Callithrix jacchus: one gene and its partners. The protein of the gene in region 2 binds, or shares a complex with, the protein of the main gene of each other region. Links are inferred from orthologs where the notes say so. Each region holds a gene or a part of one and is shown on either strand. Other genes may lie near its edges. The genes, in order: ETFB, ACADM and ETFA.

Region 1 (7,473 bases), on a different chromosome or scaffold from region 2:
ACATCCGATCCCTCCGGGGTCACGGCCCTGTTCTCTTTTCCCTGGTTCTGGACTCACTTTCTGTTAACTGTTCAGAGCGAGTTGCTTTCTCCATTTCTTACCCATTGGAAGAAGTCATGGTCCCTGTTTAACGCACTGAGAAACTGAGGCACAGAGCGGTCACCCAGCTAAAGAAGGGCAGAGCCGAGAGTTCTATCCAGGTTCCTCTGACTGCTTTCACCCACTGGGATGCATTGCCTCCCATTGGGCTATTACCCGAAATGTTCTATAGTGGGAGTCAGACAGGGCACTGTGGGGTGGGGCCCCAGAGGCTGCCTTCCACCCTCCATATGCACAGTGTGAGCCAGGAGACTCTAGCTAGGGAGAGAGAATTGTGTTTGCTAGAGATGAAAGTTCAAAGAGCCAACCTGACTGAGCTGGGGGAGTAGCTCACATTCTCCATGAAAGAGGTGGGAAGGGCACCTTCTGAGCGCCTGGCTTGTCCCCAGAGGGAAGCTGGTGTGGGCAGAGGTGAATCAGACACGGTCTCTCAGGCCGGTTTCTCTCAATGCTTGGCCTGAACTGGACTGAAGATGGTGACTATCCGTCCATGTCTGTCCTTCCCATAATCCTGGGCACTTACCTCCGTGTTCCCAGCATTGCCTAGTACTGGGCCTGGCACCCTGGAGGCCTCGGGGTGGGTGAAACCAGGGTCACAAAGTTGACACTGCTACTTCCTCTGCCTGTGTGGGGAGTGGGCTGGGGAAGAGGGTATTGGACATGAAGGCATCAGTGATCATAGCAGATAGCATTTAGGTACTTATGTGCCAGGCATCCTTCCAGGTCCTTTGCAGAGATTGACTCATTCAGTCCTTTCAGTACCCTCTGCATTATTAATCCCATTGGATAGATGAGGAAACGGAACCCTGTGGAGGTTGTTAGTTGCCAGATCTCCCAGCCAGTAAGTGGCAGTTAGGATCAAAACCTGGGTAAGTCTGGCTTTAGACTGCTCTCCAGTCTCCACTCAATGCCCCCTGTCCTAATACACCTCTGGCAGCACATGGCAGGGATGTCACCTTCAGCCCTTTTGAGACACATTCCTCTTGGGGTCCTGGGACCCGACACTTGGTTTCCTCCCGCCTCTGACTGTTCACTACTGTCACGTCTTTGGACTCCGAGAGCTCCCTGGGCCTCCTCTCTCTATCCCAGCCCTGGCCTTTCCTGCCTGGCATGTCTGGGATTGGATCTGTTTCCCCTACGATGCAGGCCCATGTTTGACTCAGCTCTGGTCCCAGCGTCACTCAGCACAGAGCCTGGCACATGGCTGTCTCTGGTGTGCTCAGGGAAGCGTGAAGGCAGCGTTGAATCAGCTCCTGTCTTTTCCACAGTGGGGTGCTGCCTTCCTCTCTCGAAGTGCCCCAGGGCTCCGTGACTCACTGGATGTGTCTGTTGATGTCCTTTTCAGAACAAATAAATGATTCAGACCCTGCCAGCTTCCTCAACACCAGATTCGAACTGGGCACTGTCCCATCCCTTTCCCTTCTCCTCCCAAAGCTGTCAGTTCTCCACCCCTCACCCTTCCCGCCCTATAGTCCCTTGGTCTCATTGTCTCGCTGGTTCTCCCTGACTCCTAGTCTCTCCCTCTCAGCCCACCTCTACCCAGCCGTAGGGGTCTTTCTGCACCTAGAACTGACCTTGCTTTCTCCTGATCCCAGCTTGCCTGTGGCTCCCCAGCACCCTCAGGCCAGAGTCCCAGCCCCTCTGCCTGGCATTTGGGACCCTTTGTGATTCGGCCTCCTGTTCATAGTCTGCTTCAGCCATCCATGTCCCTCCTTGGACCATCCCTTACCCCTTGTGTTTCCGCCACTGCGACATGCTCCTCCTGTCTTGACAGAGGAGGCTGTGGCTCACTCATTCCATGCCTTATTCCAGCACCACCCTCCTATCTCTGCTGCCTGTCCTTTGTCCTGCCCAACTTCAACCCATGGATTATATCAAAATCTAGTGATTCTCGGCTGGGCATGGTGGCTCATACCTGTACTCTCTGCATTTTGGGAGGCCGAGGTGAGTGGTTCAGTTGAGGTCAGGAGTTCAAGACCAGCCGGGCCAACGTGGTGAAACCCTCTCTCTACTAAAAAAAAAAAATTAGCCAAGCATGGTGGTGGTATACCTGTGATCCCAGCTACTCGGGAGTCTGAGGCAGGAGAATCGCTTGAACCTACCCTTATACTGCAGTGGCATTTGTGAAACAGGTCAAGGTCACTGGTCATGTTATCTGAGGTGTTATCTGACCTCATTGTCTCACAACCAAGAGAATTAAAGAGCATGAACCACCCAAAGCATGAGTTTGGAGCCAAAGTTTAATAAGTAAAAGAAGAAAGGAGGGTAGCCCAAGTGGGTTGCTGTTTTTACAGTTGAATCCAAAAGCTTTTGTAAGAAACTCCTGTCATCTCTGCAGCTGTTTGAGTATCTTATCTGTAAAGCTATCTGTATAACTCCCTTATCTATGTAGTTGTGGGTGTGTCTCCAGGCAAGCCCAAGGGTTTGTTTCAGGTAAGCCCCGCCCCATCCCTTTGCAAGTTCCCATGGAGCCCACCTTGTATATGCCTGAAAAGGAGAGGGAACTTTTCCTGGGAGCGCATTAATCACACAAAGAACAAAAGCAGGATCTGTGCTGGATCCTGCCTGCTTATCTGTGCAGCTGCAGCCTGAGTTTTCTCCAGGCTGCTCTACTGTTGCCTGTAGCTATGATTTTTCAGGCAGGCTGCTTCTCCGAGTACCAGGCTTTACTGTCTACCTAACTGATTTTTCCTTTTCTTCTCCTCATTTGTATTTATTTATCAGTGTGTTATGTCTTTATATACACTTGGGGATATGGAAAAATGCACCTCTCACTCTGGGTAACCGTAAATACTGTAAATTTGAGAACCACTCTTTCAGGCCTGATAAGGAGCAGTGACAGAGTAGGGATGATCATGTCAGATGTCCCTGGTACCCAGGAATGGCTGGATGAGAGGAGGAGAGAGGGTGACCTGCCCCTGCCTACAAGCTCTAACCCAGCTTGTCCCTGAAGCTGTGTGACCCTGGACAAGGCCCTGCCCCTTTCCAGACTGTTGTCCCCTTCTAACCTGGGAGAGAGATGGCACGGAGGCCCCCACCTTCTGGCCTGTTTCCTCCTGACCCCGCCTCCTGCCCTCCTGCTGAGCAGATCCGAGTGAAGCCTGATAGGACGGGTGTGGTCACGGATGGTGTGAAGCACTCCATGAACCCCTTCTGCGAGATTGCAGTGGAGGAGGCTGTGCGGCTCAAGGAGAAGAAGCTGTTGAAGGAGGTCATCGCCGTCAGCTGTGGGCCTGCACAGTGCCAGGTGCTGAGTCTGGGGAGGGCCTGGTCTCCTGGGTCTGAGGGAGGAGGGGCTGTGGGCCTGCACAGTGCCAGGTGCTCAGAGTCTGGGGAGGGCCTGGTCTCCTGGGTCTGAGGGAGGAGGGGATGGGGGCCAGACTCCTGGGTCTGAGGGAGGAGGGGCTGAGGGCCTGGACTCCTGGGTCTGAGGGAGGAGGGTCTGAGGGCCTGGACTCCTGGGTCTGAGGGAGGAGGGGATGGGGGCCAGACTCCTGGGTCTGAGGGAGGAGGGGATGGGGGCCTGGACTTCTGGGTCTGAGGGAGGAGGGGATGGGGGCCAGACTCCTGGGTCTGAGGGAGGAGTGGATGGGGGCCTGGACTTCTGGGTCTGAGGGAGGAGGGGATGGGGGCCAGACTCCTGGGTCTGAGGGAGGAGGGGCTGGGGGCCTGGACTTCTGGGTCTGAGGGAGGAGGGGATGGAAGCTAGATTCCTGGGTCTGAGGGAGGAGGGGATGGGGTCCAGATTCCTGGGTCCCTCTGGGGATAGTAGCCAAGTCAGGCTCCTCTGTCCTTGGCAGGAGACTATTCGTACCGCCCTTGCCATGGGTGCAGACCGAGGTATCCATGTGGAGGTGCCCCCGGCAGAAGCAGAACGCTTGGGTCCCCTGCAGGTGGCTCGGGTCCTGGCCAAGCTGGCAGAGAAGGAGAAGGTGGACCTGGTGCTGCTGGGCAAGCAGGTAGCTGTGGTCAGCCCCTCCTTGTGCCCCGGCTCATCCCTGCTCAGGAGGAGGGTGCTGGGGATGTGGGATGGGACAGCAGGTGGCCAGGCCCAGGGCATTCAGCCACTCCAGGCTGAGCAGCTTGGGACTTTGCTGTCCCTTCTGATAGAGAATTTGAGTAGGGAGGACAGAGTCCCTCTAGGTGTTAGATCCTCCTGGGCCAGGCACGATGGCTCATGCCTTTAATCCAGGCACTTTGGGTGGTCAAGGTGGGCAGATCACTTGAGGTCAGGAGTTTGAAATCAGCATGACCAACATGGCAAAACACTGTCTCTTCTAAAAATAGAAAAATTATCCAGGCATGGTGGCAGGCGCCTATAATCCCAGGTACTTGAGAGCCGAGGTGTGAGAATCACTTGAACCTGGCAGCCAGAGGTTGCAACGATACAAGATCACCTGGGGGCAGAGTTTCTTTCAAAAAGAAAAAAAAGAGAAAGATCCTCTTGGGTGAGTTTAGAGACTGGGAGACTAAGGTGATGGTCACTTGGGGAGAATGAGGCCTGGGCCAAACCTGATGGGACAGAGCAGAGACATGATATGGCAGGAGAGACTGGGCTTAGCCATGGGGAGGGAGGGCAGGGAGGAGGCAAGGACAGTGCCTGGGTCTGCCTCAGTAACACAGGTAGGAAACCTGGGAAGAACAGGACGTTACAGGCAGATCCTACATGGGGCGTGTGAAGAGCCCAGGAGACATTGATATAGGTTCAGGAGACTTGAGAATTTTGGAGGGCACTGGGGAGCTATGGGAAGTCTATGAGCAGAATAGGGAGGGGATCAGCACTAGATGCAGAAAGAGCCCCCTTGGGCTTCGAGAATGGACTGGAAGCAGAGATTGGAGGCCAGGAATTAGTGAAGAAGGTTAGGGCTGGGTGAGGACCCGACCAGAATCTCCTCTGCCACACTGGTGCTCTCCACTGGGGCAGAGGTGCATGGGGCTCATCTGTTCCCTCAGAAGACCCTGGGACACCATCCCTCCTCAGGGGATCTCATGTAAATCAGGTGCTTCAGGCACAGCTTGATCCAGAGTCCCACATGAGCTCTAGGCTCCCCTCTATCTTGGCTTCAATGTCTGCATCTCCAGGCTCAGATCCCACCAGCCCAGTGACCCCAGCAGAAAGAAAGGAGCCTCTTTGCCAAGGGCTCCAGCAAAGCTCCCAGGGTTGACTCTTCTTTGGTGCAGCTTGAGTAATGTGCTCCTCCCTGAATCAATCACTAGGATTAGGGCTAGGAGGTCCTCGCCAGCCCAGATCCTCTTCATCCAGCTGCCCAGGGGCCACAGGGCAGGACTCCTGAGAGGCTTTATACAGAGGGCAGAGATTTGGTGACAGGGATGCCATGTGGCCCCACATGCCCCTGGACAAGTGGCTGCTTATCTCTGGGCCCAAGTGAGGGGATTTAGACATAAGTCAATGAACTATGGCCCATAGCTACCACTGATTTATAAATAAAACTTTATTGGAACATCACCACATAGGTTCATTTACATATTATTTATGCCTACCTGTGTGCCACAGCAGCAGAGCTGAGTCATTGTGACAGAGACTGTATGACCTGCAAAGCCTAAAATATTTACTACATCTATTCCACCATAGAAAAAGTTTACCAACCCGCTGGGTGTGGTGGCTCATGCCTGTAATCCTAGCACTTTGGGATGCCAAGGGGGTGATGATCATCCGAGGTCAGGAGTTTGAGACCAGCCTGGCCAACATGGTAAAACCCTGTCTCTACTGAAAATATACAATTTAGCTGGGCATGGTGGTGCACGCCTGTAATCCCAGCTATTCAGGTAGCTGAGTCAGGAGAATTGCTTGAATCTGGAGGCAGAGGTTGAAGTAAGCCGAGACTGCACCATTGTACTCCAGACTGGGCAATAGAGCAAGACTCAAAAAGAAGAGAAAGAAAGAAAAACTAGACAAAGACCCGAATGGTCCGTGAGCTCCATTGATCGTCATACAGTCTTCTGTCTCTCCCCATTCAGGCCATCGATGATGACTGTAACCAGACGGGGCAGATGACAGCTGGATTTCTTGACTGGCCACAGGTGAGGCTGGAGTGGGGAGCACCTGCTGAGGGCCAGGCCCTCATCCCTCCGACTTCATTTCTGCCTCAGGCCCTGTGCATTTGCTGTTGTTTCCCTAGAACACTGTTCCCTCAGATTGCCTTGTGGCTTTCTTGTTCCTCTCCTTGAGGTCTCTGCTGAGGTATCACTTCTTCGAAGGGGACTTTCTTGCCACCCTACATGAAATACTCATGCTCACCCCCGCAACTCCAGGTTCCCCAATCCCTATCTATGCCAGTCCAATAGAAATGCAGGCTAGAGCCAGGCACTGTGGCTCACGCCTGTAATCACTGTACTTTGGGAGGCCGAGGCAGGCGGATCACTTGAGGCCAGGAGATCGAGACTGCAGTGAGTCACGATCATGCCAGTGGGCTCCATCCTGGGTGAAAGAGGGAAACTGTCTCAAAAAAAAAAAAGAAACATGCAAGGCAAACAGGCAAATTTAATTTTTTTCACAGCCACATAAAAAGTAAAAAGAGAAAAGAAAAAAAAAGAACATAAAAAAATTTTTTTTAAAAATAAAGTAAAAAGAAACAGACAAAATTACTTTTAATAATATTTTATTTCACCCTACTATGTCTAAAATATTATCATTTTAACATGTAATCAACATAAAAAATATTAAGATCCATCTGCTCCACCAGCACTGGGGTTATGTCCTGACAAACCCATCATAAACTGGAAGTATTATAACTCAAAGAATGCGTTCAATATACTTAATCTCCCAAACATCATAGCTGAGCCTAGTCTACCTTAAACATGTCACAACACCACCGTTAGCCTATAGTGGGGTAAAATAATCTAACATAAAGCCTACTTTATAATAAAGTGCTAAATATCCCATGTAATTTATCGAATACTGTACTGGAACTAAATGGAATGGGCCGGGCGCGGTGGCTCACACGCCTGTAATCCCAGCACTTTGGGAGGCTGAGGCGGGTGGATCACGAGGTCAAGAGATCGAGACCATCCTGGTCAACATGGTGAAACCCCCTCTCTACTAAAAATACAAAAAAATTTAGCTGGGCATAGTGGCGCATGCCTGTAATCCCAGCTACTCAGGAGGCCGAGGCAGGAGAATTGCCTGAACCCAGGAGGCGGAGGTTGCCGTGAGCCGAGATCGCGCCATTGCACTCCAGCCTGGGTAACAAGAGCGAAACTCCGTCTCAAAAAAAAAAAAAAAGGAATGGTTGCATGGGTACTGGAAGTATGGTTTCTACTGAGTGTTTACCATTGCCATGCCATTTGAAAACTGAGAAGTCTTAATTCACTCCATTGTTAGTCAGGGACCACGTGTATTTTACGTATTTTGGA
Region 2 (8,273 bases):
CTTGCAAAACCTCCCTAAACTGTAACTTCTGTAACTTTCCACTACTTACCCCAAACCTATAAAACCAACGCCTATCCCACTGCCCTCCACTGACTCTCTTTTCAGACTCAGCCTGCCCACACCCAGGTGAATAAACAGCCATGTTGCTCACACAAAGCCTGTTTAGGGGGATCTCTTCATCCAGAGTGTGTGTTTTAACAGGCATTCTTCATGACAACTGCTTGGTATCTTAATTTTTTTTTTAAATGACAGTTATTTTGGGGAAAAATTAGTTAGATTAAAAGAAGCCAAAGAAAGTTAAAGCCTAACTGTAATGGGCAATCATTCATAGAATTCTGGTTCAAAAACAAACTATATACAAAAGGTAATTTGGAAACAACTGGACAACTGGAGAAATGTAAATACTGCCTGGACATTAAACAATAGTATTGAATAATCTTGCTTCTAATCTATAAACTATACTTGTACACATATAAATATATAAATATGGAAAAATATTTGAACCTAGGTGATAGTGATAAAGGAGTTAAGAAGAAATTATTTAGGCAGATAGTACAGGTATGGGAGTCCTTGGTAAGGCTTTTCTTTTTCATGAAAAGCAGCTCCAAATCATTTTCTAATGAAGAGCAGCCTGTAAAGTTGAGCTGCAGACATAGGCAGCCAAGTTGGGAGTTTGCAAGGGTGAATGCTGGCAGGAGCTAAGGACTAGACATGTTCAAGATGGTGGCTCCCTCTTCCCTTCTCTGCCAATCACATGTATAGTAAGAAGCAGACAAGACAGTGCCAATCAATTGGAAACCCCATTTGCATAAGATTAGGGTACAGCAACCAACCTTCCCCATGTACTATGTAAACATCAGACCTGATCAAATCAATCTGTGAGCCCTCTATAAATCAGACACCACCTTCTCAAACCTGACCAGAAAATTCAGTGCATCCACCACCTGCAGGTGCTTTCCACTCAGAGCCCCTCTCTATAGACAGAGATATTTCTATTTATCTTCTTTTCTGCCTATTAAACCTCCACTCCTAAAATCTTCGTGTGGGTCCATGTCCCCAATTTTCCTAGCACGCAATGATGAACCCCAGGTATATCCCCTAGACAACGTAGCCGCTTCAATAATCCATCCACCTTTGCAAAATTATGACTGAGACAGTGAAAGAGATCTCACCTAGCCAATTTCATCTTGCTTCTAATCTTCAAGCTGTCCTTGTTTGTTCCCAGGCGTAGGTTGAACTCACTTTGGGAGGGATTGGAACCAGCTTTGCAGAAATAACTGAGAAAATTATGACAGTGAAAGATATCAGACCTAACTGACCATCTTGCTTCTAATCTATAAACTATACTTGTTCATTCTTGGGCATAGGCCAAGAAACCTTTGGGAAGGAATTTAGTGTATAGTTTATATAATAACCCTTCCCAAAAGGCTAAACTAGTCTTGTAAAACAAATGAAAGGCCAGCTACCAAGTCAAGATGAGAGGGGTTGGAACTCTAAATATTACCAGCCATTATTTGGAGGTGATAAGATTTGCCAACTACCCCAGTAAGTCTTGAAAGTAACATTGTGAACCTAAGTCTTTTGAGATGTCTTTTCAGGTTTCTGCATGTCTAACAACCAGATGGCCCCACCTGGATGTGCCATCTAATTCTGTAGCCCTCATCCAGGAAGTAACTCAGCAAAAAAGAACAGCTTCAACTGCCTATGATTTCATCCTTAAACCAACCAATCAGCACTCCTGATTCACTGCCCCCCACCACCACCAACACCAAATTTTCCTTAAAGGGACTGATTTGAGTAATAATAAAACTCCGGTCTCCTGCATAGCCAGCTCTGTGTGAATTACTCTTTCTCTATTGCAATTACTATCTTAATAAATAGGCTCTGTCTAGGCAGCAGGCAAGGTGAACTCCTTGGGCAGTTACAGAACTTATAGTTTAAAACATAGATGTTAACAGTCCTTTTCCAAAACAAATATTCTTCTTGCCTGGGGACTAGCCTGCCTTTGTAAAACTAACAAATTAGCCACAAGATTAGAATTATAGTTTAGGAGTCAGGCAGCTGGAGTCTACAAGATTCTGACCTCCCTAAATTGCTCCTAAGTTCAGTGCTTAAGATATTATGCAGACCCTGGACTTGATGAATCAGCTGGCACAACCCAGCTCAATAAACTGGCTTATCTGATCTTGTGGCACCCACCTGGGAACTGACTCTTCGAAATAGGACAGCTTCAATTCCCTGTAACTTCATCTACTAACCAATCAGCACTCCTGGCTCACTGGCTTCCCTATACCAAAAAAGTTCTTAAAAACGCTGATCTGCAAATGCTGGGGAAGGCTGATTTTAATAATAATAAAATTCCCATCTCCCACACAGCCTCTGTGTTAACTACTCTTCATTGTAATACCCCTGTCTTGATAAAAGGGCTCTGTCCAGGCAGTGGGCAAGGTGAATCTATTGGGCAGTTACAATAGGCATATGGGTGATTTTGTGCTTTTCGTTCACCTTTTCTGTGTTTAAAATGTTCAGAATAGGAAATTCGAACAAAGAAGACATGCATAGACAATTCCTATTCATCTTTAAGAGTCCATTTTGTGTTTTACTTACCACTCTGAAGCCTTTCTTGCCCACCAGGACAAACTCAGCTCTTTATCCCTTTTCTGAATTTTCCTATTTTTGCTTTGAATACAGCACTTAATTAATATTCTGCCTTGTACCCAGAATTAACACACTATAAATTCCCAGAGGACAAAGTAGGGAAATACAATCTTAGTATATAGAAATTTAACAGCCAAATTAGAATGAATTTAATAGGTGATCTTTATTAGGCAAAATAAAATGTTAAGGTGGTATAAGATTTAGGGGTGCAGTGCTGAAGGCCTAAACTAGGATGGCAGCAATGAAAAGGCAAAGTCCTGAGCAACATGGGAAACATTTACACTGCAGGCTCGCATTTGGGCTTTCATTAGCTTCCACAACAAGGTCTCCAAACCTGGACAGCTTTACAGACACCCATTTTAAAACATTCCAGCTACATATCAAAACTCCGGGTCTCACTGGAAGAGAGTGACTTCAAGTAAATTCCTCAGGGAGACATTCACTTCCAACCATCATTCGCTAACCCAGGAACTTTGGACAGCCTCATATTGCACCCGGATTCAACACCACCACATCCACACCAGTGGACAAGTAATAAACAGCCTCGGGAATATGCGGAAAGGTGTAATTTACCCAAGCAACTAAATTATTTTAAATTCTAATGAAATACAAACATCCGCCAGTGTTTGAGAACAAAATGTTTTAGTACTTTGAATCCGCCAAGGAGACATGATCTGGGTTTGACCGTCCTCTCTGGGTGAAGGTCAGGGCTAACCACGGGAGCGCCTCTCCCTCCAGGCCCTCGTCGCGCCCTCTCACCCAGATTCCCGTGCTGCACCGCGCCGCAAGTCCCCCACCGCTGGGCGCCAGCAGATTCTCCCAGCCCCGCAACCGGCCCCTCCCCCGCTCCACCTCCCCCGGGGCGGCTGTCAGCCTCAGCGTCCCACAGAGAGGGCGAAACATGGGAACGCAGAGAACTAGACCCGGCTTATGAGGGACCGCCCGGAGAGGGGGTGAACCAGCTCCTTAAGTCGCACCAATCGCGCAGGTCAGCGTCACGGAGCAGGCGTTGGAAACCCGGCGCCAGCGACCCCTTCTACCCTACTTGAGCTGCACCCCTTCCTTCGGCGGCCCAGCCGCCTACTTCCGCCCCGCCCACGGCCCCTGGTGGGCGGGTCTAGAGGGGGCCTGCGCTTGGGGAGTCTGTCAAGGCACTGACCTGGGTGTTACTATCCGAGTGGCCGGAACGGGAGCCAACATGGCAGCGGGGTTCGTGCGATGCTGCAGGGTGAGAGGGAGCCCAGCGCTGCGGTGGGGCTGGGGCATGAGTATTGTGGTGTGTGGTCATGGGCCAAAAATAAGTGCGGCCTGGAGGAGTGAGAAGCCGGTCAGAGGAAGGAGCCCGCCTAGGGGACCCCGGCCCTACTTTCATGCCTCCTACCACGGGACGGAACGTAGTCCGAAGTTTCATTTTCCCGTATCCTCCCATCAGCAGACCCCTTTATAGGCGGCATCCTTTCTTTAGAATATCGTTTTTCTTTTTCTGGCCCGGGAACCCTCCAAATATTTACCCACCTTTTTCCGAAGTGAACCTGTCTCTGTGTCAGAACCTCGGGAAAAAGGAAAATGGAGCAGCTACTCCTTGAGATACTTAATATATTTAATAAGCTTTTAGTTGTGTAATATGGTGGAGGACGCGTCCACTTTGCTTACGGGAAAAAACGGTAAAAGAAAAAACCGCGGAAATTTATGTGAACTTGTCTATATATTCTAGTATTGTGTCTTACAGAGTCTAAATAGGTTTGTCACTAGATGCATTTGGGGATCTTAAATATTCTTGGTATGTTCACATGACTGCCATTTAGATGTCACTTAAAGTTATGTTTTTGACCAAAAAAGCTGCGGTTTTAGAATAATCCTAAAGAATTGCTGTCCATATTTTGCTGCTTTTATACAGGTTAATGTGCAGTGAAGGCAGAAATTGGAAGATTTTAGCTATTTTTAACTCCATCGCCAGAAAAGTAGATTTCTCAGCCTCCTAGGAAGGAGCTAAAAAACCTGATATAGAAAACTTACATCCTTTTTTTCTTCTTTCACTCATAAAACTAACACTCATATATTTCTTTCTTTTTTTTTTCTTTTTTTTTTTTTTTTGAGACGGAGTTTCGCTCTTGTTACCCAGGCTGGAGTGCAATGGCGTGATCTCGGCTCACCGCAACCTCCGCCTCCTGGCTTCAGGCAATTCTCCTGCCTCAGCCTCCTGAGTAGCTGGGATTACAGGCACGCGCCACCATGCCCAGCTAATTTTTTGTTTTTGTTTTTGTTTTTGTATTTTTTAGTAGAGACGGGGTTTCACCATGTTGACCAGAATGGTCTCGATCTCTTGACCTCGTGATCCACCCGCCTCGGCCTCCCAAAGTGCTGGGATTACAGGCTTGAGCCACGGCGCCCGGCCACACTCATATATTTCTAAGAAATGCACAAAATGTTTAATTCTAGTGGTGCCGTTTCGATGTTTAAAATTCCGTTGTTCTAGACAGAGAGCAATAATAAAACCAATATTATAGTAGTAATAAAACCAATATTTATATAGCATTAGGCTTTGAAAACATTATCTTATTTTAAACATCCCAACATACACAGTGAGATTAGCCCTATTTTTCAGTTTGAATGGAAGCTATAGGCAGTTTGTAATCTAAGGCCACAACTGTAGCTGTGAAACCTCGATTCAAATTCAGCAATTGTTAAGTCCACATCCCGTGATATATCTGTTTTCTATTTGTAAACCACCTCTTTAATTAACTGGCTAACTTTGTTATGTAATTGATGGGCATTGTATTCTGGTAATAGCAACCTTTGCACTTCGTTCTATGTAACATATTTTCCTGAACAGTCATATGTGAAGTGACTTTTCCCCCTATTTAAAGTCTCTTGGGCCTCAGACTTTGGGGCGCTGAGACAGGCGGATCTTCTGAGGTCAGGAGTTGGAGACCAACCTGTCCAACATAGTGAAACCTCATCTTTACTAAAAAAAATAACAAAAATTAGCCGAGTGTAGTGGCACACGCCTGTAGTCCCAGCTACGCAGGAGGCTCAGGCGGGAGAATCGCTTGAAACCAGGAGGCAGAGTTTGCAGTGAGCCAAGATTGCATCACTGTACTACAGCATGGTTTACAAGAATGAAACTCCGTCTCAAAAAATAAAGTATCTCGGTTGGCCAGGTGCGGTGGTTTACGCCTGTAATCCTAGCACCTTGGGAGGCCTAGGCCAGCGGATCACTTGAGGCCAGGAGTTCGAGACCAGCCTAGCCAACATAGGGAAACTCCATCTCTACTAAAAAATATGAAAACTTAGCTGGGCGTGGTGGCGTATGCCTGTAATCCCAGGAGGCCGAGGTTGCAGTGAGCCGAAATTGCCCCACTGCACTCCAGCCAGGGTGACAGAGGGAAACTCTTGTCAAAAAAAAAACAAAATTCTCAGTAGACCATTTAACCTGGCTTGAGTTCTGACATTTGTGTATGGTATTCAAAAGCATATGTATAATAGAGTCGGGTTTTTTTGTTCTGATTTTTGTGGCAAGTTTTTCTTTGTTATGGAACTTAGTGACCAATTAGGAGACCAATAGAAAGATCAGTATGGCAAGGTGGTTAAATAGCATGCGCTCTTGATAGTAAATGTTAGAATCCTGGTTGCACTAAGAGTAGAGTAACTTGCCTAATTTAGTTGACTTTCTGAGGCTTCGTTTCCTCACATGTGAAATTGGAATAAAAATAATGACTTAATCATAGGCTTGACCTGGGATTCAGTGAATTAACCTAAGGTGACTGTAAACAAGAATAGATTTGGTCTGTGACTACTGGACAATGAAGACCAGAGAAACTGTTTAACTTTCAAAATAAAACTAATGAAGTTGCAAAGAAAATGTGAGCTTTCATGGTCTTTTTAAATTATAGTATGAGGTATGTTATTTTGAAAGCTCTGTTTCAGTTACAAATATTTGACAATAATATTGTCACCTTACACGTAGGAAATTCTCTTTATAAGTTGAAATTGTCATCTACAAAGACAGTTTCTTTTTACAGATTTTGAAAAACATAAGTTAAATTGTAGAAACTTTAGTATATTCTTCAGCTTCTCTTTTCTCTTAGTATCTAAGCTTATTAAAATTGCCAGATAGTTCAATCAAAATATTTTACAGTGAAAATTGTATAATTTTGGCTGTCCCGAAACCCTTACTCAGGAAGACCATTGTGGTCTCCAGTCTGGCAGCTTTAATAAATACAAATGTTTACTTTTGTATCCATTAAACTGTCATGAATATAAAAATGCAAAGCAATGATATATGTATATTTGATTTTTTAAATATGCTCCTTTGAAGAAATATGAATATATTTCAGATCCTAAGACAAGTAGTGTATTAGTAGTTTAGAACAGGGTTGGCAAATATTTTTTGTAAAGGAGCAGATAGTAAATGTTTTTGCCTTTGTGAACCATATGGTCTCTGTGGTAACTACTTAGATCTTCTGTGAAGGCAGCAATAGACAGCATGATGTGGCTTTGTTCCAATAAAATTTTATTTACAAAACTATTGGCTGCCATAGTTTGGTGACTCCTTCCTTAGAACATTGTAACAATGCCTGTAGACAATGAGCAGAAAATACAGAACATGGTTTTATGCTAATTTGTTTTGTTAAGAGTGGGGTATCCTAAAAAATGAAATCCTCTGAGGGGAAGGTTCCCAGAGGCATGCATGGGAGGCTTACAGGGACAGGGTATCAAAGTTGATGGACTAGGCAACTCTTGAACACAGTATGTTCACTTCCAGCCTATTATTCTCCCCACCCCAACTCTCCAATCATCAATGTCCTAGGAGCTTGTAAGACACCCAGAATAGTGGTCCTACGTCTACTACTACCCTTAACTGTTGTTTGTCCTGGAAACCCTCCACTTCAATAGTGTTAATACCACTGATTTTATTTTCATTACTTTTTAAAAACATCTCCTCTATGATAGGAGTTTAGATAGCCGGTAATTGGCTTACTTAAATTATGATTGAAAGCATTTAAATAATGATGACTGTAAAAACTATGAGTATCCTCAAACAAGTTGCTGTACTCACATAATTATCAGTATTCTCTTATCTGATTGATGTTAAACTTATCAAATGTATTTTAATAAAAGTGTTCTTTACAGGTCCTGAGAAGTATTTCTCGTTTTCATTGGCGATCACAGCATACAAAATCTGCTCTACAACGTGAACCAGGATTAGGATTTAGTTTTGGTATATGTTCTGTTCTATCTTTTGACTTTAAACTTATATATATGAAGCTCTATGTATTTGTTTGGAATTTGTTTGTAAATAAAATTAATAATGTCTTTAAATGAGTAGAACCAGTCCACGGTCCATATATAGTTCACGGTTAATCACACCCATTCTTCCTGATCTCATTTTCTTTCTTAGTATACTACACTATATATTAGATCTGTGTTAGCAGCATATATACACTTCTTATGTTCCTTCCTTTTTTTTCTAAATGTTTAGCCCAAAATAAATGAGATTTGCTGATATATATGAATAGTCTTCAACTTATGTATTTGAATGCCACAAATGCATTTTAAAACACTTGTTAGATTACAATGCTAGGTGCATGGTAATAAGCTAAAGCTTGTTTTTG
Region 3 (7,968 bases), on a different chromosome or scaffold from region 2:
TCCACCCTCTCTTTTCTGCCCTTTCTTCTTTGGACAAATATTTATTTTCTTTTTCATTTTGAGATGGAATCTTGCTCTGTCACCCAGGCTGGAGCGCAGTGGCACAATCTCAGCTCACTGCAAACTCTGCCTTCCAGGTTCAAGTGATTCTCATGCCTCAGCTGCTTGAGTAGGTGATATTACAGGAACATGCCACCACACCTGGCTAATTTTTGTATTTTAGTAGAGATGGGGTCTCACCAGGCTGGCCTCAAACTCCTGACCTCAAGTGATCCACCTGCTTTGGCCTCCCAAAGTGCCAGGATTAGAGGTGTGAGCCACTGCGCCCAGCCCATTGGACAAATATTTCTACAAATGCTCCATGAAAGTCTGCAAATAACCCAATAATAGGCTGGGCACGGTGCCTCATGCCTGTAATCCTGGCATTTTGGGAGGACAAGGCAGGTGGATCACCTGAGGTCAGGAGTTTGAGACCAGCCTGACTAACACGGAGAAACCCCATCTCTACTAAAAATACAAAAATTATCTGGGCATGGTGGTGGCCACTGTAATCCCAGCTACTTGGCAGTCTGAGGCAGGAGAATCGATTGAACCTGGGAGGTGGAGGTTGCAGTGAGCTGAGATCGCACCACTGTCCTGCAGCCTGGGCTGCAGAGTGAGACTCTGTCTCAAAAATAAAATAAAATAAAATAAATAAATAAAATAAAAATAAGTAAATAAAAAGAAACCATGGGTCCTGCCACCAAAGCAGCTCATAACGGAGTGGGGAACTCATATACCTCTAGGGAAAATCCGCTAATAGAAATTTCTTAGCACACACATTTCTCTGGTATATAACCTGCATATGACTGTAGAACCCTGATACCCCTTCATCCCAAAGCCTCAGAGGGTGTTTCACGTGTGATCAAAACAGGTCTGGTCAGGTGTCACAACTTTGCCCATTTTCAGCCTCTCCCTCGGCTCTGACCTGCTCTGCCAGGAATCCCAGGGACACCAAGCTTCTGCTGTGCACAGCTGCTGCTGATTCCCCCCTAACAACTCTCCCCTTTTGTGTTTCGCTTTGTCCTGGGTGAGGAGGCAGGGAAGGAGGTGAGTTTGTATCTCGGGTTTTTAACATGGTTTTCAGTAAAATATCCTTTTCCATTTTTACTAAAAGGACCCTTCCCTCTTCCTTCCACTCCCATAGGTCTCAGATTCTAGTTCTGTGGGGGACTGGGTTAGGAGGCAAATGCAGTGAGACATGGAATGCTAAATTGTCCCTCCCACAGGCAGATTTACTGGGGGGCAGGGGTCCACAGCTCTGTCCGCCACATGAATTCAGACATTTTTGAAGTGGCTGCTTATGTTTAAGATGAATCCTCACCTCCTTGTTCACAGAGCTAGAAGAGTGAGAAAGAGGAAAGAATTAATTCATCCTGGAGAATCGAGAAAGCTTACAAAAGAAATGTCACTTGGGCCAGGCATGGTGGCTTTGTGCCTGTAATCCCAGTACTTTGAGAGGCTAATGTGGGAGGATCACTTGAGGCCAGGAGTTCAAGACCAGCCCTGGGTAACAGAATGGGACCCTGTCCCTACAAAAAAAGAAAAAAGAAATGAATAGCTGGGCATGGTGGCACATGACTATAACCCCAGCCACTTGGGAGGCTGAGGCAGCTCAGCTTGGGAGGATTGCTTGTTCCCAGGAGCTGGAGACTGCAGTGAGCTGTGACGGCACCACTGCACTCTAGCCTGGGAAACAGAGTGGGACCTTGTCTTGAAACAAAATAAAAGAAGAATTGTCACTTGAGCTGGGTTTGAAAGAGGCTTGTCAGATGGGGAAGGGAATTTCCGACAGAGGGACGACCAGAAAATCACAGGGCCCTTAGCATGCTTGTTGGTTCAGACAAGACTCTTGCTCCAGGGGATTTACACTCCAATGCAGGGAGATCAGCAATAAACAGATAAACAAGTGCATCCCGTTAGGAGTTGATAAAAAAAAGAAGAAAAATCAAACAAGGTGACAGGGAGTTTGGGAGGGGCCTGGGTGCTATTTTAGGTACAGAGGCCAAGATCAGCCTTTCTGTAAATGCAGTTTTTGAGCAGAGACCTGAATGAAGTGAGGACGTACACCACGCTACAGGAGCAACAAGGGAAGAGCATTTCAGGCAGAGGGAACAGTCAGAGTACAAAGCTCTTGAGAGGAGCAGGCTTGTGGGCTCAAGAAGGCCTGTGTGTCCGGGGCACGGTGAGAGAAGAGGGTAGTGGGAGGACAGGGAGCCATCGTAGGGCTTTGAGCAGCGGTCATGATCAGTACATCAGTTTGGAGAAGAGCCTTCTGGAAGCATGGGTAGAAACATAAAGACTAGCTAGGAGGCTTTGCCATGATCCAGGTGAGGGATGATAGGGTCCTGAGTGAAGGTGGTTCTGGTGGAGGAGTAAAGGGTGTTGGAGGAAATTGCTGGATTCTGGTTATCATTTGAAGGTAGAATCAAAGGGATTTGTTGATAGACTAGATAACATTGGAAAGGTACGTTGTTGCTGAATTGGGAACTGAGACAATTCCCGAACATATCAGTTCCCTATTTAACAATGTCGTGATGAAGTCCGGACTCATCAGCAGTCATTTATTCATTTGCTGATTCATTCAACACATACTGATTAAATGCCTACCATGAGCCAGGCATTGCTCTAGGTGTTGCAGATAGACACCAAATTTAAAAGCAGGACATACTTTCTGCCCTTAGAGAGCTTAGATGGGTGAGTCAGACAAGTACCCAGGTCATTACAACCCATGTGACAACTGCTACCATGGGGAAGGACAGGGGGAAACGGGCATATAGGAAAGGTATCTAATTGGAGTTAGCATGGCTCCACTCATATGTCACCCCGAGGTCAGCTCAGTTTTGAGGTTCACTCTAACAGTGTCGCCCATTGCGGGGCTGGGAGACAGTACAGTCTGAGCTCCGTCATCAGCTGGGTCAGTCTCCGCAGCTCCGCGGCCCCGGCTTCCTCGAAGACCCCAAGGGAACAGCCTCACCTTTGCCCCACTTCCCAGTCTAGCTCCTAACTTCCTGCCCTCCATTGGCTGCGCGACCGCCCAATGGGCAGGCGGGAAATGTGGGTTCGCGCTCCCGGCCTAGGGCGTCCGATCTCGTTCGCGCGTCTCGCGAGCGTTAGGTGACTGGAGGGGGCGGTGCCGCTCGGCCGGGCACCGGCTGCTGGGAGGCCGAGGTAGCGGCGGGCGCGGAGACAATGTTCCGAGCGGCGGCTCCGGGGCAGCTCAGGAGGGCGGTGAGTCCGGACAGGGAGGGCGAGCCCAGGGACCGTCTCCCCTCAACCTGCCGTCCCTATGGGATCTTGCAAAGGTCCCCGGCTCCCTCAGGCCCGACCAGCCCTCGCGCCCGCCCGCAGCTTCCGGCCTGGGGCTTGTTCCAAAGTTCTGGGGCCTGCCCTGGACTCCTTCCGGGCCGCCAGGTCGGGCAGAAGTCAGAGGTCGGGGGTCCAGGTGACCCCGAATGATGTGAATTTGCGCGTCTGCTGCCCGTCCTCCTGGCCCACTGTCTGCCCTGCCGCTTCCCACCTTTCTCAGTCACTCTGGGCACTTTCGGGCCGCCAGGTCCTCCACATTTGTTCCACACCCGAGGGAACAAAATGTCGCCGGGGAATGCCCTGCTGGGGAAAGTTTAAAACCTGGATTCCTTCCAGAGGCCGACATTTCTGGAAGAAATAAACACTTTGGGCGCGCTGTGGCTGCTCCGACCACTCACTTAGGGCCGGGGTGGGGTGGGGTGGGAGGCGGCGTGGCTGGTTATGGCAGCTGGCTCTGCTTTCTGGCTTATGGAACAGGGCTGAGTTTAGGTGATTGCATGTGTAAAACCTGTGGTCTGATTTGACAGCTTTAGCTAATTTTCAAAGGCCGACGTCTTTTTATATACTGACTTGCTTTTAACCAGCATATTGTAGGTTAAATAGCCAGGTAACTGGTGATAGTGGTACATTTTCGGTGTTTCATTAGTGACAAACCACATTTCTCTCTTCCCTGTGAGAACGACTGATAGGAAATATATTTTCGTTCTCAATGGAAGAGTAGTATTTGGAGACCAGTCATAAGTCAAGTAATAATTTATATTGTGGATTCTGTAGTTTTCCTAATTTACATTTAGGCGAAAGGAGAAAGAAGATTGGTAAACTTGGGTCAGAAACTTACCTAATGGTTTGTACCTTTTCTAATTTTTTTTTTTTTTTTTTTTTTTTTTGGTACATGGATATTTTCCCCATTCACTCCTGGGATTTTTCTCTCTGAGGTATATCTGGAGCTCTTTCTAGATGTCTGTAGACATTAGACTCTTTTTTTTTTTTTTTTTTTGGAGACAAGGTCTGGCTCTCTTGCCCAGGCTGCAGTGGAGTGCAGTGGCACGATCTGGGCTCACTGCAACCTTCACCTTCCAGGTTCATGCGGTTCTCCTCAGCTTCCCAAGTAGCAGGGACCACAGGTGTGCATCACCACGCCTGGCTAATTAGTTTTCCTGTATTTTTTTTTTTTATCGAGATGGGGTTTTGACATATTGCCCGGGATCCCGAACTCTTGGCCTCAGGTGATCCACCTGCCTTGGCCTCCCAAAGTCCTGGGATTACAGGAGTGAGCTACTGCACCCGGCTTTAGACATCCTTTTTTCTTGTGTATATTCCTTGTTTGATAAAAAGTCCTGACCCCTGACTCCACCTTCCCCTAAAGAGTTTAAACCCATATGTTTCAGGTTAGTGTCCTGTCTTCCCCTCAGGACATGTTCCCCCCTCCCCTTAGGGGATCTAGACATAAACAAGTGAAAGTCATGAATTTGGGAAAATTCCAGGAACCAGAGCCAGACTTACGGAAGAATGCTTCTCTGTGCAACAGTTGGAAAACAATTCTGTGGACAGATTACAAGTCTGGTCTAAGTGAAATTATAATTGTGGTGGGGGATGGAATTTAGGACTCAGCAATTTTGTAGAGCTAACAGAAAAAAATGGAGTGATTAAGTAATTCTTATTATTCACACCGTTGGCTAATGTGTATAGACATGACTTCCAAATATTCATTGTGGTTTGCCGAGGACTTTGACCTTGACTTGCTTTTAAAATTTGAAGTCAAGCTAAGTAGAATAGCTGTTTTAAAGTCATTAAGAATGTTTGAGAGATTTGAATTTCTAGCATGAAAGAAATGGTGGCAACACTTCTAAAGTGGACACATGTTACTAGGTACATATACCTGGTATTTAAGTTTTTAAATTTTGAAACAGTTGCACTTATAGAAAAGTTGTAAGAATAGTAGGAAGAAGTCTCAAAACCCTTTCCCTGGTTTTCCCAGCGTGTTAGCAGTTTGACACATTTGCTTTATCTTTCTACATATATACATAATACTATCTTTCTGAACCATTTGAAAGTACGTTGCAAATGTGCCCTTTACTCCTAAATAATTCAGTGATGTTTTAAAAGAACGAAGAAGTTCACTTTCTGACTGCACTGTAATTGGCAATATCTGGGAGTTTCACAATAAAATACTGTTTTCTAATCTACAGATGTTCAATTTTGCCAGTTGTCTCATTAGTACTGTTTATAGCAATTTTCCTTATTCTGGTCTAAGACACCTCAGGTGCCCTGCATATGGTTTTCATGTCTCTTTACTCTGATAGAAAGGTTCCTCAGCCTTCCTTTGGGTTTACATATTGGTGTATTTGAAGACTACAGGCCTTCTATTTTCTTTTTTTTTTTTTTCCCCCAGGCCTTCTGTTTCTAGACTGTCACTCACTTTGGGTTTGTCTGGTGTTTCCTTATGATTAGATTCAGGTCATATATTCTTGGTGGGAATAGCACAAAAGTGATACTGTGTTCCCTGTGCATCATGTTAGGAGGTACTTAATGTTGGTTTATCCCATTAGTGGTAATGCTAACTTTAATTACTTAGCCAAAGTGGTGTTTGCCAGGTTTCTACACTGTCAAGTGAATACTCCTCCTCTTGTAATTTTTAACTAATTTGTGAGGAGATACGTTGAGACTATGTATGTAACTCTCCTATTTTTCATCTTTTTTTTTTTTGAGACAGAGTCTCTTGCTCAGGCTGGAGTGCAGTGGGGCTATTTTGGCTCACTGCAACCTCTGTCTCCTGTTTTCAAGCAATGCTCGTGTCTCTCCCTCCTGAGTAGCTGGGATTACAGGCACGCACCACCACACCCAGCTAATTTTTGTATTTTTAGTAGAGACGGGGTTTCACCATGTTAGCCAGGCTGGTCTTGATCTTCTGACCTCTTGATCCGCCTGCCTTGGCCTCCCACAGTGCTGGGATTACAGGCGTGAACCACTGTGCCGGGCCTCTGATCAGACTTTTACCCACTGTTAGCATCTGTTGATTTTTGCCTGATAAATGATTACTATGATGCAAAATAGTGATTTTCTGTTTCCATGACACCTTCTACATTTTTTAGTTGTTCTGCTGTACAGAAGAACATTATCTTCTTGCATATTTATGGATTTATGGATTCATGGATCCTTATTTAGTAGGTTATAATCCATTTCTACCTTATGTTCAAGTTGTCTCATTTATAAAATGGGAGCCCGTTCAATCTGACTCCTGTTTATTTACATATATATATTTGCTCTCACAGGGTCAAATAGTTTATCTCAAATCCTCACTCTTAAAATTAAAAAAAAAAAATTGTTCTGTAGGTAACTGTTAATGCATATTTGAAGAGGATACATTTCCAAAACTGTATTTAAAAAAATAAAGTTAGGAACTCTAAAAGATTACCACGGGCTGGGGCAGTGGCTCATGCCTGTAATCCCAGCACTTTGGGAGGCCGAGGCGGGTGGATCACGAGGTCAGGAGATGGAGACCATCCTGGTTAACATGATGAAACCCCATCTCTACTAAAAATACAAAAAATTAGCTGGGCATGATGGCGCGTGCCTGTAATCCCAGCTACTCAGGAGGCTGAGGCAGGAGAATTGCCTGAACCCAGGAGACGGAGGTTGCGGTGAGCCGAGATCACGCCATTGCACTCCAGCCTGGGTAACAAGAGCGAAACTCTGTCTCAAAAAAAAAAAAAAAAAGATTACCATAAACTGTTAACAGTGTGAATATAGTTAACACTACTAAATTATACACTTAAAAATGGTTAAGATGGGGCCAGGCATGGTGGCTCACGCCTGTAATCCGAGCCCTTTGGGAGGCCAGGTAGGTGGATCACCTGAGCTCGGGAGTTTGAGACCAGCCTGGGCAATATGGCAAAACGCCATCTCTACCAAAACAAACAATTAGCCGAGCTCCATGGCACACACCTGTATTGTAGTCCCAGTTACTCAGGAGGCTGAGGCACGAGAATTGCTTGAACCTGGGAGTTCGGGGCTGTAGTGAGCCCAAATAGCATCATTGCATTTCAGCCTGGGTGACAGAGTAAGTAAGGCTCTGTTTCCAAAAAAAAAAAAGATGGTAAACATTTTGCATATATTTTTTTAACCACAGTTTGTTAAACGGTTAGTATAAGTTCGGTGACTTGTATTTGGAATGTAAGTTTTCATTTTCAGTTTTGACTGACTTGTGCCATTGAGCAAAGTTTTTCATTCTTGTGTGTGTGGAAATGGTCCTCAAAGTCATCTGTTAACAAAGGTCGTTTTAATATCTAATAAAGAGCTAGAGAACACACTGAGAGGAAAATAAGTAGGCATTTGCAGTTAATATTCTTACAGGGATAGTAATCCTAATTATTATTATTTTATTGATTTGCTCTTGAAATTGATTTATTGATGAATAATAAGATGCCAAAAAATATTTTTGTGGTGAGTGAAGCAGCACTTTCAAGGTCATTTGACTATTCTTGTCATTGTTCATTGCCAGGTGGGAAGGAGTATCTATCAGGATTGAGAAACTGCGAAGCTGGTGTGAAGGAACATGACATTTTTCTGTCTAGTATTGATGAATAAGATTGAACTCTGTAATTTGCATGCAAATTTAAA

The links.
Region 1: the proteins of ACADM (region 2) and ETFB are in contact, whole or in part, in a crystal structure (PDB 2A1T), measured with the Homo sapiens proteins. The link is inferred for Callithrix jacchus from reciprocal best matches to the Homo sapiens genes ACADM and ETFB. Residues at the interface, in NP_000007.1 of Homo sapiens: Glu43, Gln44, Lys46, Glu47, Phe48, Thr51, Lys54, Phe55, Glu58, Glu59, Arg80, Glu83, Leu84, Gly85, Leu86, Leu98, Leu100, Ile108; in NP_001976.1 of Homo sapiens: Glu73, Arg76, Thr77, Tyr192, Ala193, Thr194, Leu195, Pro196, Ile198, Met199, Lys202.
Region 3: the proteins of ACADM (region 2) and ETFA are in contact, whole or in part, in a crystal structure (PDB 2A1T), measured with the Homo sapiens proteins. The link is inferred for Callithrix jacchus from reciprocal best matches to the Homo sapiens genes ACADM and ETFA. Residues at the interface, in NP_000007.1 of Homo sapiens: Pro163, Lys173, Pro211, Gln232, Arg235, Glu237, Val251, Glu253; in NP_000117.1 of Homo sapiens: Arg223, Lys226, Arg249, Asp253, Ala283, Ile284, Gln285, Glu304.

What each region holds. Positions count from the first base shown.
Region 1 is NC_133523.1:44,944,199-44,951,671, reverse strand, and holds part of ETFB (electron transfer flavoprotein subunit beta), read left to right. Parts: intron 1-3,187; coding exon 3,188-3,346; intron 3,347-3,899; coding exon 3,900-4,058; intron 4,059-6,078; coding exon 6,079-6,141; intron 6,142-7,473. UniProt on the Homo sapiens protein: Heterodimeric electron transfer flavoprotein that accepts electrons from several mitochondrial dehydrogenases, including acyl-CoA dehydrogenases, glutaryl-CoA and sarcosine dehydrogenase.
Region 2 is NC_133508.1:112,937,300-112,945,572, forward strand, and holds the start of ACADM (medium-chain specific acyl-CoA dehydrogenase, mitochondrial), read left to right. Parts: upstream 1-3,823; 5' UTR 3,824-3,856; coding exon 3,857-3,886; exon of another isoform or gene 3,887-3,903; intron 3,904-7,791; coding exon 7,792-7,879; intron 7,880-8,273. UniProt on the Homo sapiens protein: Medium-chain specific acyl-CoA dehydrogenase is one of the acyl-CoA dehydrogenases that catalyze the first step of mitochondrial fatty acid beta-oxidation, an aerobic process breaking down fatty acids into acetyl-CoA and allowing the production of energy from fats.
Region 3 is NC_133509.1:24,696,765-24,704,732, forward strand, and holds the start of ETFA (electron transfer flavoprotein subunit alpha, mitochondrial), read left to right. Parts: upstream 1-3,189; 5' UTR 3,190-3,231; coding exon 3,232-3,270; intron 3,271-7,968. UniProt on the Homo sapiens protein: Heterodimeric electron transfer flavoprotein that accepts electrons from several mitochondrial dehydrogenases, including acyl-CoA dehydrogenases, glutaryl-CoA and sarcosine dehydrogenase.